Nothobranchius furzeri: one gene and its partner. The protein of the gene in region 2 interacts with the protein of the main gene of each other region in a biochemical or structural test. Links are inferred from orthologs where the notes say so. Each region holds a gene or a part of one and is shown on either strand. Other genes may lie near its edges.

Region 1 (8,342 bases), on a different chromosome or scaffold from region 2:
CAGTTTGCCATAGACCTTAAAGTAACCTCGTGTGATTCTGTGTAAAAGTTACTTAAAACTGCTTTTGCTTCCTGAACAGCCTCTATACAGAGAAATGGCATTTTCCTCCCTCAGGACTGATAGGCTAAGGGCTAGTTTAAACAAACCACCGTTATCTAAAACCATCTCTAATCTTCTAAACATCGCAGCAAATCATGAATTTATGTCATAAAACATTGATTTTACATTCCGGTTTTTCAGCTGGGTGTGTGGTCATTCACAAGTCTAAAAATCACCAACAGCAGCACTTCAGGTGCGTCCTTCCTTTATATTTCTGCCCAAATAATTATTTAGTTTAAACTTAACGATAATAAAAGTTGATTTATTAAGTAAGAACAGCTGAGATTAATGGTAACAACTACACGTTGTCGCTTTAAAACACTTTGGTCTTAGCTGCACTCAGACTAGCTGTTAGGTCATCACTCCCATTAGAAACACCATTTCTCCACACAGAGGCTGTTCAGATGGAGAATATTCGTAACTGTTGTGCAGAAACTTTACTTCAGAACAGACATAATAATCCTGTTGATGCTAAAGTTGGATTAAAATTGGATTAAAGGCTTCCCCGTGTGAGAACATGCCATACATACGTCGCTGGCAGATGATGGAGGAGCGATTTTCACCACCTTCTTCTCAGCAGGTCTGAAAGGAGGAAATATTATGAAATGGGTGTAACTAAATCAGGAGATGCAGCTGTGAGCAGATACCTCAACAAATCTGACCCCTGAGACTTGTGAGTCGACACATGGAAGAACCAATGAACAAGCACTATCTACTCTTTCAGCTAGCTGAAAGAATAGACTTCATACGGAAATTTTCCGGTGCTCCGCATCCAAATCTGCACTACACTGCAGCACGTTTGAATGCTCTGATTGGACTCGAGCAGTTCTGGTCCACGCAGAAGCCGTGCGGAAACCAGACCGCATGTGTTCTGCATGCAGTGTGAAAGCAGCTTTAGTCAGAAGCCGAGCACAGGCGTCCTGAACCACCTGCAGACGGTTCAGGGAGGTTCTGCTCAGACACGTGAAAAGAGAGTTGCTGTAGTCTAAGCGTGAGGAGATGAAGGTGTGGAGAACAGGGCTGAACGATTCTGGAAAATAATCTAATTGCGATTTTTTTCTTCAATATTGCAATTTAATTCATGATTATTTTCTCAAGGGGCTTTTCTCATATTTTTCAACCAACGGACGCAAAATAAATCTATGTGACTTGTAATGAATAAAAACAAGTTTACATAAGCACAAGTAAAGACAAAATGTTGTATTTGAAGCTGCGATGCTTTGCAGCGAGGAGCACATCCCCTGAAGGAGCATAGGTATTAGCAACACCTGTGAGAATGTATTTGCAGGAAAGAAGTGTGTCCCGTTTACTGAAGTCTTTTGTGTTTAGAATTTTTGGCGTTTTGTCCATGCAGAGCTTCCATAGTTCAGCTAAGTCCATAGCTGCTAGCCAAAGCTCAGTGGAGTTAAAGTCTCTTACAGTTTTCTAGCTTTCCTAAAATATCTGTCTGTACTTATTTGATTGATGGCAGTTTTTACTTTTTATTAGACTTCAAATGTAATCATTTGGCATGTTCCTAATTTGTAATTTGTAAGAATGTAATCAGCAATATTAGCATTAGCATCCCTATGGGTTTTTCCATGTTTATTAGCATTGTGCTAAACACTCACTGCCAGTCAAATCGCCTTTGCGATTAGAAAATCTAATTTTGTCACATCGTGATTTAATTGCACATGCAATTAATTGTTCAGCCCTAATTGAAGGGTGTACAAAAAACTGACATGAGAATCCAGGGTGAGAGGGTGGGTCAAAGGTCACATCAAGATTCCTGACAAAGGGTTTGGTGTGAGAAGCAAGCTGACCAAGAGAGTCTCTGACTTTGGGAACCAGCTTGTCTGGGGCACAGATGAGGACCTCTAAAACCCGCCGGTCGTCTTTGTTAAATTGATAAATGAAATTTAAAGGACTTACATCTCACTCGCAGTCGTTTCAGTGTCTTCGTCCACTTTCACCGTGTTGGAACTCTCAACTTTAGTGAAGTCCTAAAAGGAAAATAGAAACTTTAAGTCTTCCTTTGCAAATATAAATCTACATCTTTGACAACAAGAGAACAGACTACAGAATATAGTCAGAATATAATCAATCATTTTACCGCCGTGTCCTCTGCCAGCACATCGTCTAAGTCCACATCTTCCTCTGCAAATAAAAACACAAGACAAGGACATTTGGACGCGAACCCAAAGAAACCAGCAAGATAAGAAAACAACCTACATTTGTGTAACTGAACACAACTGGAGTTTAGCCTGAATGGAACTTAGAAATGACTCAGTTGGATGATTTTAGGGTTTTTAAAATGATCCATCTGTGGGAAAAGTCCAGTTTGTGACTGATCTAGTTCAGTCTGAGGACGACATGCTGCTGGTTTATTGGGCTGAAACAATTCATTAAATTACTAAAGTATTAGACTCAGCGCTTTTAAACCAAGGGGAAGTCTAAGGCTGAGTAGTTACTTGTTTCACAGGGATAGTTTTTATTGTGGGACACCACGCTGAGACTATGCTCTGTGTAAATGACGAAGACAGAAAGTAAATGGGACACAAATCTGTAAAAAAAAGACCAAAGGAGCCAGAAGTTCAGGAGTCTTTCAAACACAGGAATAGCCAAAAGACTCAAACACAGTGTTCACTCCAATAGTAAAGAACATAATACAGACAACTGATGTGTTTCTAATTATTACAGACGTGTTTCTAATTATTACAGATGTGTTTTTAATTATTACAGATGTGTTTCTAATTATTACAGACGTGTTTCTAATTATAACAGACGTATTTCTAATTATTACAGATGTGTTTCTAATTATTACAGACGTGTTTCTAATTATAACAGACGTGTTTCTAATTATAACAGACGTATTTCTAATTATTACAGACGTGTTTCTAATTATTACAGATGTGTTTCTAATTATTACAGACGTGTTTCTAATTATTACAGACGTGTTTCTAATTATAACAGACGTGTTTCTAATTATAACAGACGTATTTCTAATTATAACAGACGTGTTTCTAATTATAACAGACGTATTTCTAATTATTACAGACGTGTTTCTAATTATTACAGATGTGTTTCTAATTATAACAGACGTATTTCTAATTATTACAGATGTGTTTCTAATTATTACAGACGTGTTTCTAATTATAACAGACGTGTTTCTAATTATAACAGACGTATTTCTAATTATTACAGACGTGTTTCTAATTATTACAGATGTGTTTCTAATTATTACAGATGTGTTTCTAATTATTACAGACGTGTTTCTAATTATAACAGACGTGTTTCTAATTATAACAGACGTATTTCTAATTATAACAGACGTGTTTCTAATTATAACAGACGTATTTCTAATTATTACAGACGTGTTTCTAATTATTACAGATGTGTTTCTAATTATAACAGACGTATTTCTAATTATTACAGATGTGTTTCTAATTATTACAGACGTGTTTCTAATTATAACAGACGTGTTTCTAATTATAACAGACGTATTTCTAATTATTACAGACGTGTTTCTAATTATTACAGATGTGTTTCTAATTATTACAGACGTGTTTCTAATTATTACAGACGTGTTTCTAATTATTACAGACGTGTTTCTAATTATTACAGACGTGTTTCTAATTATTACAGACGTGTTTCTAATTATTACAGACGTGTTTCTAATTATTACAGACGTGTTTCTAATTATTACAGACGTGTTTCTAATTATAACAGACGTATTTCTAATTATTACAGATGTGTTTCTAATTATTACAGACGTGTTTCTAATTATTACAGATGTGTTTCTAATTATTACAGATGTGTTTCTAATTATTACAGACGAGTTTCTAATTATTACAGACGAGTTTCTAATTATTACAGACGTGTTTCTAATTATAACAGATGTGTTTCTAATTATTACAGATGTGTTTCTAATTATTACAGATGTGTTTCTAATTATTACAGATGTGTTTCTAATTATTACAGATGTGTTTCTAATTATTACAGACGTGTTTCTAATTATTACAGACGTGTTTCTAATTATTACAGATGTGTTTCTAATTATTACAGACGTGTTTCTAATTATTACAGACGTGTTTCTAATTAAAGCAGATGTGCTTCTAATTATTACAGACTTTACAAAACCACCCTGCTTAAAATACACACAACAATGTCAATAAAACAAGAGACTGTTAATGTCATCTTTTAGGGACAAGCATAATAATGCAGTCACTAAAATGAATGGTAGTCAATGTCAGATCTCCACATGAGTAGCAATGCAAATGTGTGTGTGTGTGTGCGAGAGTGAATGACTGAGTGAGTGAGTGTGTGTGAGTAAGTGAGTGTGAGTGAGTGTGTGTGTGAGTGTGTGCTCTTGTACACACCACCTACTGAGGACCATTTGTACCATTTTCCCTACAAAGTGAGGACATTTTTCTGGTCCTAATTTTTTTTAGAAGCTTACCAGTTGGTTTTAGAGGTATGGTGTGAATTAAGTTTTAGTTAGGGTTAGGAATAGATCAGCATTGGTAATGGTTATACAGTCACAGAAATGAATGGAAGATGTGTGTGTGTGTGTGTGTGTGTGTGTGTGTGTGTGTGTGTGTGTGTGTGTGTGTGTGTGTGTGTGTGTGAATAAAGAGAAGTGAACTGAAAGTACCTTCACCGTGCTCATCTAGGTATGCTTGGAGTCGGGCGATGAGCTCTCCTTTGTTCCCTTTGGTCTCCAGACCTCGAGCATCACACTCCTGCCTCAGTTCAGCAAGCTGCGTCATGAGAAGAAGGGGAAGGAAAACATGTTAAATCATTTAAAATGTAAGTAAAGTAGTCTAGTCAGCAGCCTCTTTAGGATCATTGGCAAATGTCAACATTTGAGTTGCAGCCGTTTGTAAACAGGCTTGTTTTGTGTGCGTAGAAATGGACGCTGTACAAAACAAATGATGAACCTGGTTTAAAACAGAGCAGCTTCTGGATCTGCTAACCCTGTTTATATGCCAGAAGGGTTTGCGGTTTTACTGGATGATGAGAACAGAAATGCTTTAAAATGTATCATTTCAGTGACTATTTTATTCTATAAAAGTACTGGATTTTATTTTTCCAAATCAAGATTTTTGTTTTTATTAGATAATTTGCTCCACCAGATGATCTGTAAAATCTAACAGCGTGAGAAATATTTGATAGTTACCTGACCCTACTGAACACTGGTTGATTTAATCATGCCATCATTTATTTTATTTTTCGTTAATCTAGTCATATCTTGATAAAATCATATGTTGGACCGTCCCATGTTGCAAAGCTACATGTTTCGGCGCGCTAGCAGCGGTAGCTCCTCGGACACACGACGCCGGCTTTCAGCCTTCACACACAGACGAGACGATTTAACCTCTAATCCCATTTACCCTGAACCCACTACGTCATTCTGTAATAAACAGAAATCAACACCCATCCGTCACTTATAAAGGTGTGAAATCAAACTAAAATCGTAATTTTAGGTCGCTACCAACCTTCAGTTTATGCAGTTCCACCACTTCCGCCATCTTTCTTTGTTGACGTAAGTCTTCCTCCAATCAAAAGACTAGCTCCTCTCATTCTGAGCTCCACCACTTGCGCGCTGTCTTCTCACACTGCCCCCTGCTGGACACTGACCTTTTGCAGGTAAAATTCTTCGAGCTTTATACGTTTACACAGGGGATGAACAGTGAATTTAAAGTTGTAGCTGGACTTATGCCATGACAATGGACTATAGAACGTTATTTCTGTAGATAAGAATGTAAACATTGTTTTCCTAAAAAATAAAAATACAGCTCAGTGTTGTTGATTCATGTACATTACTTGGTTCTTTTTTTTAACACAGCAACAGTTGTTTTTACCTTGTTGATGACATTTTGACAAACACTGTAGTGTTGTTAGTGTGAATGTGTCTGTGATTGGGTGACTGATTGTGTTGTAAAGCTCCTTGGGGGGTTCCAGGACTCTAGAATGTGCTATATCAATTACAGGCCATTTACCATCTTCCTCGGAGAAAATACCCAAGTAAGTTCTTTGGATGAAATACACAAAATGAACAAAACATTATAAAAAATTAAAGTTCAAAGTGTTTCTTAGATGAAGGTTGATTTAGGTAAAGCCCAGACTGACTGGTTATCATGATTCATGCATGAAATTAATAAATTATCTTTCCCTTTGTCTTACTGGACCACTGCTGACAGCGGGAGACAGAGATGTTCTTGTTGCTAGGCAACACCGTTTTCTTGTTCCTCTGATGGCTCACAAGAGACAAAGAGAGAAAGATGGACATTTACTGGGATTTTAAAACAAGTGACGTTTAAGGCCATTTCATTTACTGTTATTTAAACGTATTTGAGTACACTTTCCCTTTGGTCAACAACACTTTGACTCATTTAAATGATTTATGTCAGAGAACAAGTTGACACGATTAAAGCTTTTTTATCACAGGAATGAGAATCATTGGTGTTACAGAGCTCTCATGACAGCGAGGAATATAGAACAAATCACCTTTCTATTTACACAGATGTCCATTTACACATAAGCCACACAAGCAGATGCCAGTGTGCCAGTCAAAAATATGCTAAATCGCTTCATAATGTTTAACTGTACTGAAGAACCTGACACGTGTGACCTGCAGTCATGCTTCTTTACATAGGGGATATAAAAGTCTACTGCTGAATGTGCTGCTCAGTGCTCTTGTATTATGCAGCCAGTTGGGTTGTCCATGATGGATGTCAGCTTGGACAACATCCTCTCCTCCCCAACCTGCTTGATGGACCTCAGCGGGAAGCCCAGGACAGAACTGGCCCTCCTGACCAGTCTGCTAAGTTTACCTTTGCACCTCCTCACAATTCACATTAACATCAATGCAACACTCAGCAAGTGTTCAATACTTGTGGAACACCAGATTTACATTTATAGAATGCTGCGTAATTCTGGAGCCCAAGTTTTCCATTTTTTATTCTTGGATTTTAGTGGTTGAAGGTTACAATACTAGCTTACTGCCTATCTGCATGTACTTGTTCTTCTAACGGGGGCAGCAGCCTAAGCCCAGACGTCCCTCCCCCCAGCAACTTGAGCCAGCTCTTCCGGGTGAATCCTAAGACATTCCCTGGACAGCCGAGAGACATAGTCCCTCCAGTGTGTCCTGGGTCTCCTCCCAATTAGACATGCCTGGAAAACCTCACCAGGGAGGCGTCCAGGAGCCTTTCTCACCAGATGCCTGAGCCACCTCAACTGGTTCCTTTCAATGTGGAGGAGCAGCAGGTCTACTCCGAGCCCATCCCGGATGACCGAGCTTCTCACCCTATCAGCCACTCTGCGGAGAAAACTAATTTTGCTTTGTTTGTATCTTTCGGTCATTACCCAAACCTCGTGACCGTAGGTGAGGGTAGGAACGTAGATCGACGGGTAAATCGAGAGCTTTGCCTTCCAACTCAGCTCTCTCTACACCACGACAGAGCGGTACAACGCCCGCATCGCTGCAGATGCAGCACCAAACCGCCTATCACGCTCCAGTTTTCCCTCACTTTTGAACAAGACCCAGAGATACTTAAACTCCTCCACTTGAGGCAGGACCTCACCCCTGACCCGGAGAAGGCATTCTACCCTTTTCCGGTTTAAGACCATGGTCTCGGATTTAGAGGAGCTGATTCTCATTGCAGCCGCTTCACACTCGGCTGCGAACCGCTCCAGCGAAAGCTGGAGATCACTGTCCGATCACAGCATGTGCTACCAGAAGTTTTTTGCAAGAGTCCTGTTAACCCCAAAAATCTCAGCTGTCTTTGTAGGTGAGGACTTAGACCCTTGTCTTAGAGCGCATCCGTACATGTGGACCAGTTTGGTTTGTTGTTGAGGTGAACAGCCACCCAGATATTTACACTTCACCGTTCAGTGTCCACGCCCTGGACGCTCGCTTGTGTAACATGGGGGTAACCTCTTACCAACTCAGTGGCGGGTCTTCTCTAGCCATCTGACAAAGCCGTTGATGACCCCCTGTATTCCAGTTTTCTCCTCTCTGACACATGACCAACAGTGGCAGTGTTGTCCATGAACTTCTGGAGATTGTGAGTGTCTGTGTTTTAACCAAAGTCTGCAGTGTAGGGTAAAGAGGGACAAGGTGAGTTTAGATCCAGGGGCGGTTCCAGGCCAAATTTTCCAGGGGGGCCACAGTGGGGCCAGTATTTTTTCATGGGGGCGCAAGAAAAAAAGGGAAAAATTAGGGCAATATCAAAATTCTTTTTTGTCATCGCCATATTACT
Region 2 (7,852 bases):
TTTTCCTATAACATGTTTTATCCTCAATCACACAAACAAAATTTACATTTTCTCATGTTTCAACCCCCCACCCCCCCCACCCCCCCACCCCACCGTGTTCACAGCTCCCAGTTCACCAACAATAGACAATTACAATCAAATGCAACACCCTTACAACTTTTCCTCCTCCTCCATGTAATTAATTAGTATAATTTTTTATACTTCTCTTTAAACTGTTGCAATGAGGGACTTTGCTTTAGATCCTCACCTAGCTTATTCCAAACTCTTACACCCGTAACAGAAATACAAAATGACTTTATTGTTGTTCTAAAATATGTATGCCTTAAGTTAAGTTTGTATCTGAAATTATATACGTTATCTGGTTTTATAAATAGCATTAATAATTTGTTTGGTAATAATTTCCTATGCACTTTAAACATGAATGTCGCTGCATATAGCTGAATTAAATCTTTAAATTTTAGTATTTAGAATATATAAATAACGGATGAGTGTGTTCTCTAAATCTAACATTGTGAACGACTCTCAGGGCTCTTTTCTGTATGATAGACAAGGGTACAATAGATGTGTTATAAGTGTTACCCCATACCTCTACACAGTAAATAAGATAGGGATAAATCAATGAATAATAAAGGACATGGAGTGATTTATAATCCAAGTACTGCCGAGCTTTATTCATAATGTAGATGCTTCTCGCAACCTTATTATATACATGTTTAATTTGTGGTTTCCAACTTAATTTATTATCAATTACTATTCCAAGGAACTTATGTTCTGTTACTTGCTCAATTTCACATCCATCCATTTGCAGCTTAACCTCAGTTTTATTAGCCATACCAAACAACATACATTTTGTTTTTGCTATATTTAATGTAAGCTTATTTTCAATAAACCACTCTTTAATGACGCACATTTCAATTTGGACCATCCTTTCTAACTCGCTAATATTATCTCCTGCACAGAAAATAGTGGTATCATCGGCAAACAAAACAAATGTCAGTGTATTTGTTACATTACTCAAATCATTAATATATAATAAAAATAATTTTGGACCCAACACAGACCCCTGTGGTACTCCACAAACAATGTGCAACCATGTAGATGAACATTCTCCAAACTTCACAAACTGTCTCCTCTGCTGTAGATAGCTTGTCAACCAGCTCAACACTACACCCCTAACCCCATACCTCTCTACCTTTTCAAGTAACATTTTATGATTAACCTTCTTATTATGTTACGGGTCAATTTGACCCGTTCCAGTTTTTGTGTTGACCATAGCGCTGATCATCTTCTATTTTTCTTAATGAAACTTTATGACTTTTTCTTATCTGGGGTCATGAACTGGTATGAGAAATATGGACACTTTGATGTGTCCTGGGAAGTCTTAGCAGTTTTTGTATACAAAAATTATGTTGCGGGTCATTTTGACCCACACACTTTAATGTGAGTAAAAAGCTGTTCAGAACAAAAATAAACATGACTCTTTGATGTGCTATGTTGTGATTGCTTCTGAATATACATTCACACCCAGAGGCCCAGGTGTGTGCGCGAGAAACTTTTTCTGCCCTGTTCTTGTAACTGATCTCATGTGATTTCAACACACCAAAAATGAGCTCTAGAAGGTTGACAGCTGAAGAAGCTTTATCTCAGCTTTTTAACTGGCATAGCAATGACGAAGAAGATGTTTCAGAGACAGAGGATTTTTCAGAGGCTGAGGACAATGTTACTGATGATCCAGACTACCAATTTTCTGATGAGGATTCTAAAGAGGAGTCTTCTGTCATCGCTTCATCAAGTGAAAACCAAGGAATGCAGCAATCATCATCTACAGAGGGGGCATGGACATCTAAAGATGGTAAAATAAAATGGTCAACATCACCACACCGAAGTCGAGGCAGACTGTCATCTGCTAATGTCATCAAAATGACACCTGGTCCTACAAGATTTGCAGTCACACGAGTTGATAATATCCATTCAGCATTTCATCTCTTCATACCCTCTCCAATAGAAAAGATTATACTGGACATGACTAACTTGGAGGGGAGGCGTGTATTTCAACAGAAATGGAAGCCCATGGATCTGACTGACTTGCATGCTTATATTGGAGTCCTGGTATTAGCTGGAGTATACAGGTCAAAGGGAGAAGCAAATGCAAGTCTATGGAATGAAGAGAATGGAAGGCCGATCTTTCGTGCAACAATGTCTCTTGAGACATTTCACAAGATATCTCGTGTGATCCGATTTGACAACCGTGAAACCAGAGCCAGTCGCTGTGAAAGAGACAAACTTGCTGCAATCAGAGATGTATGGGATAAATGGGTGGAGATTCTACCTTTGTTGTACAACCCTGGTCCCCATGTGACTGTAGATGAGCGCCTTGTTCCATTCAGGGGCCGCTGTCCTTTCCGACAGTATATGCCCAACAAGCCGGCCAAGTATGGCATCAAAATATGGGCAGCTTGTGATGCTAAATCTAGCTATGCATGGAATATGCAGGTGTACACCGGAAAGCTACCTGGAGAGGCATCTGAGAAGAATCAGGGGATGCGTGTGGTGCTGCAGATGAGTGAAGGGCTGCAAGGGCATAACATCACCTGTGACAACTTCTTTACATCCTACTGGCTTGGAGATGAACTTCAGAAAAGAAAGCTCACTATGTTGGGAACAATCAGGAAAAATAAACCAGAACTTCCCAGTGAAATTCTGAAGATGCAGGGAAGACCTCCAAATTCCTCAAAATTTGTTTTCACCGAGAAAGCAACAGTTGTTTCATACTGCCCAAAGAAAAACAAAAATGTTCTTGTCATGAGCACAATGCACACAGATGCATCTCTGAGCACAAGAGAAGACAAAAAACCACAAATGATCCTGGACTACAACTCCACCAAAGGAGGAGTAGACAATCTTGACAAAGTCACAGCAACATACAGCTGCCAGCGCAAAACAGCTCGTTGGCCCTTGGTGATTTTCTACAACATTGTGGATGTGTCAGCTTACAGTGCCTTTGTCCTGTGGACTGAAATCAACCAACATTGGAATGTCGGCAAACTGTACCGACGTCGGCTTTTCCTGGAAGAACTGGGAAAAAGTCTTGTCACCCCCGAGATCCAGAGGCGAGCCAGACCAGCTCGATCCCCAGCAGCAGCAGCTCTCATTGAAAACGTCAGGTCTGCATCATCTGACCAATGTACAATGAATCCAGTGGATACAGGTGCAAAGAAACGAAAAAGATGCCAGGTCTGTCCCTCACGATAAGACATTAAAACAAGCACCGTTTGTGAGAAGTGCAAGAAGTGCATTTGCAGAAAGCACACAGTTACACTCTGTCCATCATGTGGACAACACTGAAAATGTTGAACATTGAAAATCTGAGAAAAATAAAAGTGTTTGTAAAGAAGGAAAACTTTTACTAACTAGTTCTTACAAATAGTTCTGGATATTCAAACTTTATTGTGTGTCTGTGTTTTAAATGTTTTTTCTAATGGAAAATAAAGTTCCTGTTTTATTGCAGTTTTTTTACAGTTCTAAGTGAATTTAGACAGGGTGGGTCAAAATGACCCGCAACATAACCAATGTGATTTTTTTTCAACATAATACAAGGGTTAACTGTATCAAAAGCCTTTTTTAAATCAATAAATATCCCCAGAACATGTTTCTTCTGATCAATTGACGTTGTAATTTCTTCCACAGAATGCACCAGAGCTAGTGATGTTGAACTATTCGGTCTAAATCCATACTGACAGTCTGATATTATCTTGTATTTATCCAAAAATATTTCGAGTCGATTATTAAACAGTTTTTCAAGAATCCTGGAAAATTGTGGAAGCAATGAAATTGGCCTATAGTTCGTAAATTGATGCTTATCCCCGGTTTTATATATTGGTATAACTTTAGCAACTTTCATTAGTTTTGGGAATACACCTGATTGAAAAGACAAATTGCAAATATATGCAAGTGGTTTTGAAATTCCTTCTATAACCTTTTTTACCGTCATCATGTCAATGCCATGACTGTCAGTTGATGTTTTACCTTTACATGTTTTTACAATTTGTATTATTTCTTGTTCCTCTACAGCTGAAAGAAACATGGAATGAGGATTAGGTTTGATTTGTTTTAAGAATGGTGTATGTGATGTAGATGAGCTAGATATGTTTTCTGCCAATGACGGTCCTATATTTACAAAGAATTTATTAAAGCTATCAGCCACATCACCATAATCATGTTTTACAACACTGTTTTCAACAAAATATTTCGGAAATTTATCATGACCTAAATTTGGTCGAACTACATTATTTAATATTTTCCACACTTCTCTAATATCATGTTTAGCATTATTCAAACTTTTATAATAATACTCCTTTTTACATTTTCTTACTATATTGGTAAGCTTATTCTTATATATTTTATATTTATGTTCAGCTTCTGGAGTTTTTTTTATTTATAAACAACCTGTAAAAATTATTTTTCTTTTTGCAGGCACACTTTATCCCCTTCGTCATCCACGGTTGATTATCCCTTGTGTTTGAGCTACTACATTTTGTTAAGGGACAATTCTTAACATACAATGAAATAAATATTCTTACAAAGGTCTCATAAGCCTTGTCAACATCAGTTTGCTGGTACACTTCCTCCCATGTCTGTCTTATCAATTCGTTCTTGAAGGCATTCGTTGTATGCTCCCTAGGTTTTCTTCAGCTCGCCTCTTTTTCGGTTGAATATTTAAAGTTACTTTTTTCGTAACGTACGTGGTGCATTTGACAAGACACAGCTGAAAACGGCTCGTGCATGCATCGGTCACTGCCTCCGCTCTGGTCGGATTTTAAAATTTTCAACTCCCTCTCTCTCACACACACACACACACCATAATCAACATTGTTTTTTTTAACTGTGTGGGGAAAATGCCCACAACGTTAGGAAAAAATCTGTTTAATCATTTTAAAATAAAATGGTTCTAGTATTTCATATTTCCTAGTTCCTACTGCATGAGTTCAGATGCATTAATTCATTAATTTGAGATGGCACACTGGAGCGCTGCAGTGCTCCTAGAGTTTCTCTCCTTTAGAGCTGAAGCTCACACCACCAGAGACGGCACAAGGACTGACGGAGAGACATCTTCAGGAGCAGCTTGTTAAAAACATGACGATTGCGGCTTCAATCATAATGGAAATAAAGTTATTTCCAAGTTAAATGGAAGTCTGTGGCATCGCAGAGACTGATCCCATACCGCCTTTATGCCACCATCGCCTAATATTTTATAAAAGGGACATAGTTGCGCCACGGTCTGACCACTTAAACGACCTACGGCTCCCTGATGTCGTCACGCAACAGAAAACTATCACACTACCACTCCCTTTGACAAAAGTAGGACCACCCCTGTGAGCACGAGCACTTACTGTAGGAGGAGATGTCGATCTCCTCTGGAAGCTCAGCCACATTCACCTCGAAGCGGTCCTGGACCTCGTTCAAGGTTTTGGCGTCAGCCTCGTCTGACACAAAGGTGATGGCCAGGCCTTTAGTTCCAAACCTGCCAGCACGGGCGACCTAGGGGTCAACAGAAGAACGTCGGGACTCAAAAGAAATTTCAACACGTTTTTAAGATTCTTTAAATAATTATAAATATTTAAACAATCCAACCATCATTAGGCTTCTTTGGTTTTGTAAAAACAAACAAACCAATCTGTGTCACCGCCACCGTATTAAAGCTAAACTGACTCTGTGAAGGTAGGTGTCAGAATCTTCAGGCATGTCGTAGTTGAAGACGATGTTGACTCGCTCGATGTCCATGCCTCGACCAAACAGGTTAGTCGCCACCAGGATCCTCCTCTGAAAGTCTTTAAACTGCTGATACCGAGATAACCTGGAGGAGGGCGGACGCATTAGGGAACAGGTTTACAGATTCAAACACTCTTCTTCAGAAGCAGCCCCACCTCTCCTCCTGCGCCATGCCCCTGTGGATCGCTATAGCGGGAAAGTTCTGCTCCACCAGCAGCTGGGACAGCGCCACGCAACGATTCACGGACTTCACAAAGATCACCACCTGTCAGGAACCAGAGGAGACCCTTAAGTCCACAAGGCTTCGGTGTTTTATCAGCCAACACGACAATAGAAGGGGAAAAGGTTCCGGGTTTGTTTATTTATTTATAGGGCCTTTAAAGCAAGAGACTAAACGTTTGTTTAAATGAAAACACAGGGAAGACTTCACGGACACAAAGCCATTTTATGCAAATAAAAGAAAGAAAAGTCACAGGACACCTGGTTGAACTCGAGCACGTCAAGGAGGTCGAACAGCTTTCTGTTCTTCTCGCTGTCCTTCAGCTTGCAGTAATACTGCTGTAGGCCATGCAGTGTCAGCTTGGTCTCGTCGTCCACAAACACCTCCATCGGCTGAAGGAAAACAGACGAGGCCGATGCACACGTTACTAACACAGTTCTGTTTGCATTCACATGCAGCATAACAACACGAGTTAGAACCTTCCCGTGGTTCTCCTGAGTAAACTAGTCCAACCTGGGCCTGTTCTCCCGCAGCGCAGCACAGCCGTGAGGACCGCTGCCCAGGCCGAGCAAGATCAGCTGAGGACGTTCGCTCTGCCCCTCTGAAATGGACACTCGTGACACGGTCAGCCGCGAGTGGGCAAAGCTGGAGGGGTTTGACTTCAGGTAACTTCTAACCAAAACACGGGAAAGGCTGATTCATCAGTAGATTTTTAACACTGATCTACTGTTAGAACACGGGCTTTATGGCAGACAGCTGAACTAGGCTTTTTATTAGGGATGCACCGATGGATCGGCGTTTGATCCCAGTCTGCCGATAGCGCCCCAATCGGTTTTGATCGGAGTTTTCAAAATAGATCAAAGCAGACCGATCAGGTAGGGTTGTCACGGTAACCGGTGTAGCGGTAAACCCCGGTAAAACAGTTGACAATAATAATAACCGTCTTGTTTTAAAAAAAAAAAACTATATTATCTCGGTGGATTACCGTAGGTGCGGTGACCCTTACCAGCCACCGTATCATCTGCTGAAGTTGTCGGCGGCACATGCGCACTTTGTTGTTTACAACCAAAACTTTCTTTAAGCTAAAGCTGAAATAATGGCCAAAGGAGGAGACGGCAGCGCTCAGGAGGACATTTATTATCCCTCAAAGACAAAGTGGGAAGTACGGCATCTTTTGGATATGTGAAGAATGCCGAGGGACAGCTGATAGAAGACGGCTATCCTGTTTGCAGCACGTGCAGAAAAAGTGTCTGTGAAAGGCAGCAACGCTTCAAATCTCATGACACATCTGCGTGACCATCACCCACAACTCTACAGTCAACGCAAGGCAAGCTAACGTTAGCGTTTTAGCTAAAGTGCGTGATCCGAGGATTTGGGTTGAGGGAGAATGCAACGAGTTGCTATATAAAGCAGCCGCAGCGCCGCTACCTGCATATAAACCGTGTCGCGGACACCGCCATGTTGAAATGACGCTATGCATTACGGGGCTCCCAGGGGCAGATAAGAGTTGGTCTCTCTCCGAGAATAATTATGAATTTAACAACGATTACTGCCTGATGACATTTTCCCACATCTGCAAAGCTCACTGGAAGGACACAAACCGAGGACAATATTTTCCTGATATAGGGTTTATTACTCAAGTAAGGGTAAAAAAGTATCTGATTAGAAGGCTACTTGAGTACTGAGTATCATCTGGTCTAATATTTTTAAATGATGACATCAAACAGACATAAAATAAGACGTTATGGGCAAATATTGGTATTTTAAAGACTAAAGGGGGAAAATGTAAACAAATAAACAACATAATTACTAAATAACACATTTTAGGCAAAATTTAGACACAAACTGAGGACAATATTTCCT

The links.
Region 1: the proteins of ATP-dependent RNA helicase DDX39A (region 2) and sarnp form a complex in vitro, tested with the Homo sapiens proteins (2 studies listed by BioGRID). The link is inferred for Nothobranchius furzeri from reciprocal best matches to the Homo sapiens genes DDX39A and SARNP.

The regions. Positions count from the first base shown.
Region 1 is NC_091755.1:36,667,760-36,676,101, reverse strand, and holds the start of sarnp (SAP domain-containing ribonucleoprotein), read right to left. Parts: upstream 5,685-8,342; 5' UTR 5,610-5,684; coding exon 5,577-5,609; intron 4,839-5,576; coding exon 4,733-4,838; intron 2,236-4,732; coding exon 2,192-2,235; intron 2,082-2,191; coding exon 2,011-2,081; intron 682-2,010; coding exon 630-681; intron 1-629. UniProt on the Homo sapiens protein: Binds both single-stranded and double-stranded DNA with higher affinity for the single-stranded form. Specifically binds to scaffold/matrix attachment region DNA. Also binds single-stranded RNA. Enhances RNA unwinding activity of DDX39A.
Region 2 is NC_091747.1:68,852,265-68,860,116, reverse strand, and holds part of ATP-dependent RNA helicase DDX39A, read right to left. Parts: intron 6,382-7,852; coding exon 6,250-6,381; intron 6,035-6,249; coding exon 5,925-6,034; intron 5,855-5,924; coding exon 5,710-5,854; intron 5,539-5,709; coding exon 5,391-5,538; intron 3,570-5,390; exon of another isoform or gene 1,377-3,569; intron 1-1,376. UniProt on the Homo sapiens protein: Helicase that plays an essential role in mRNA export and is involved in multiple steps in RNA metabolism including alternative splicing. Regulates nuclear mRNA export to the cytoplasm through association with ECD.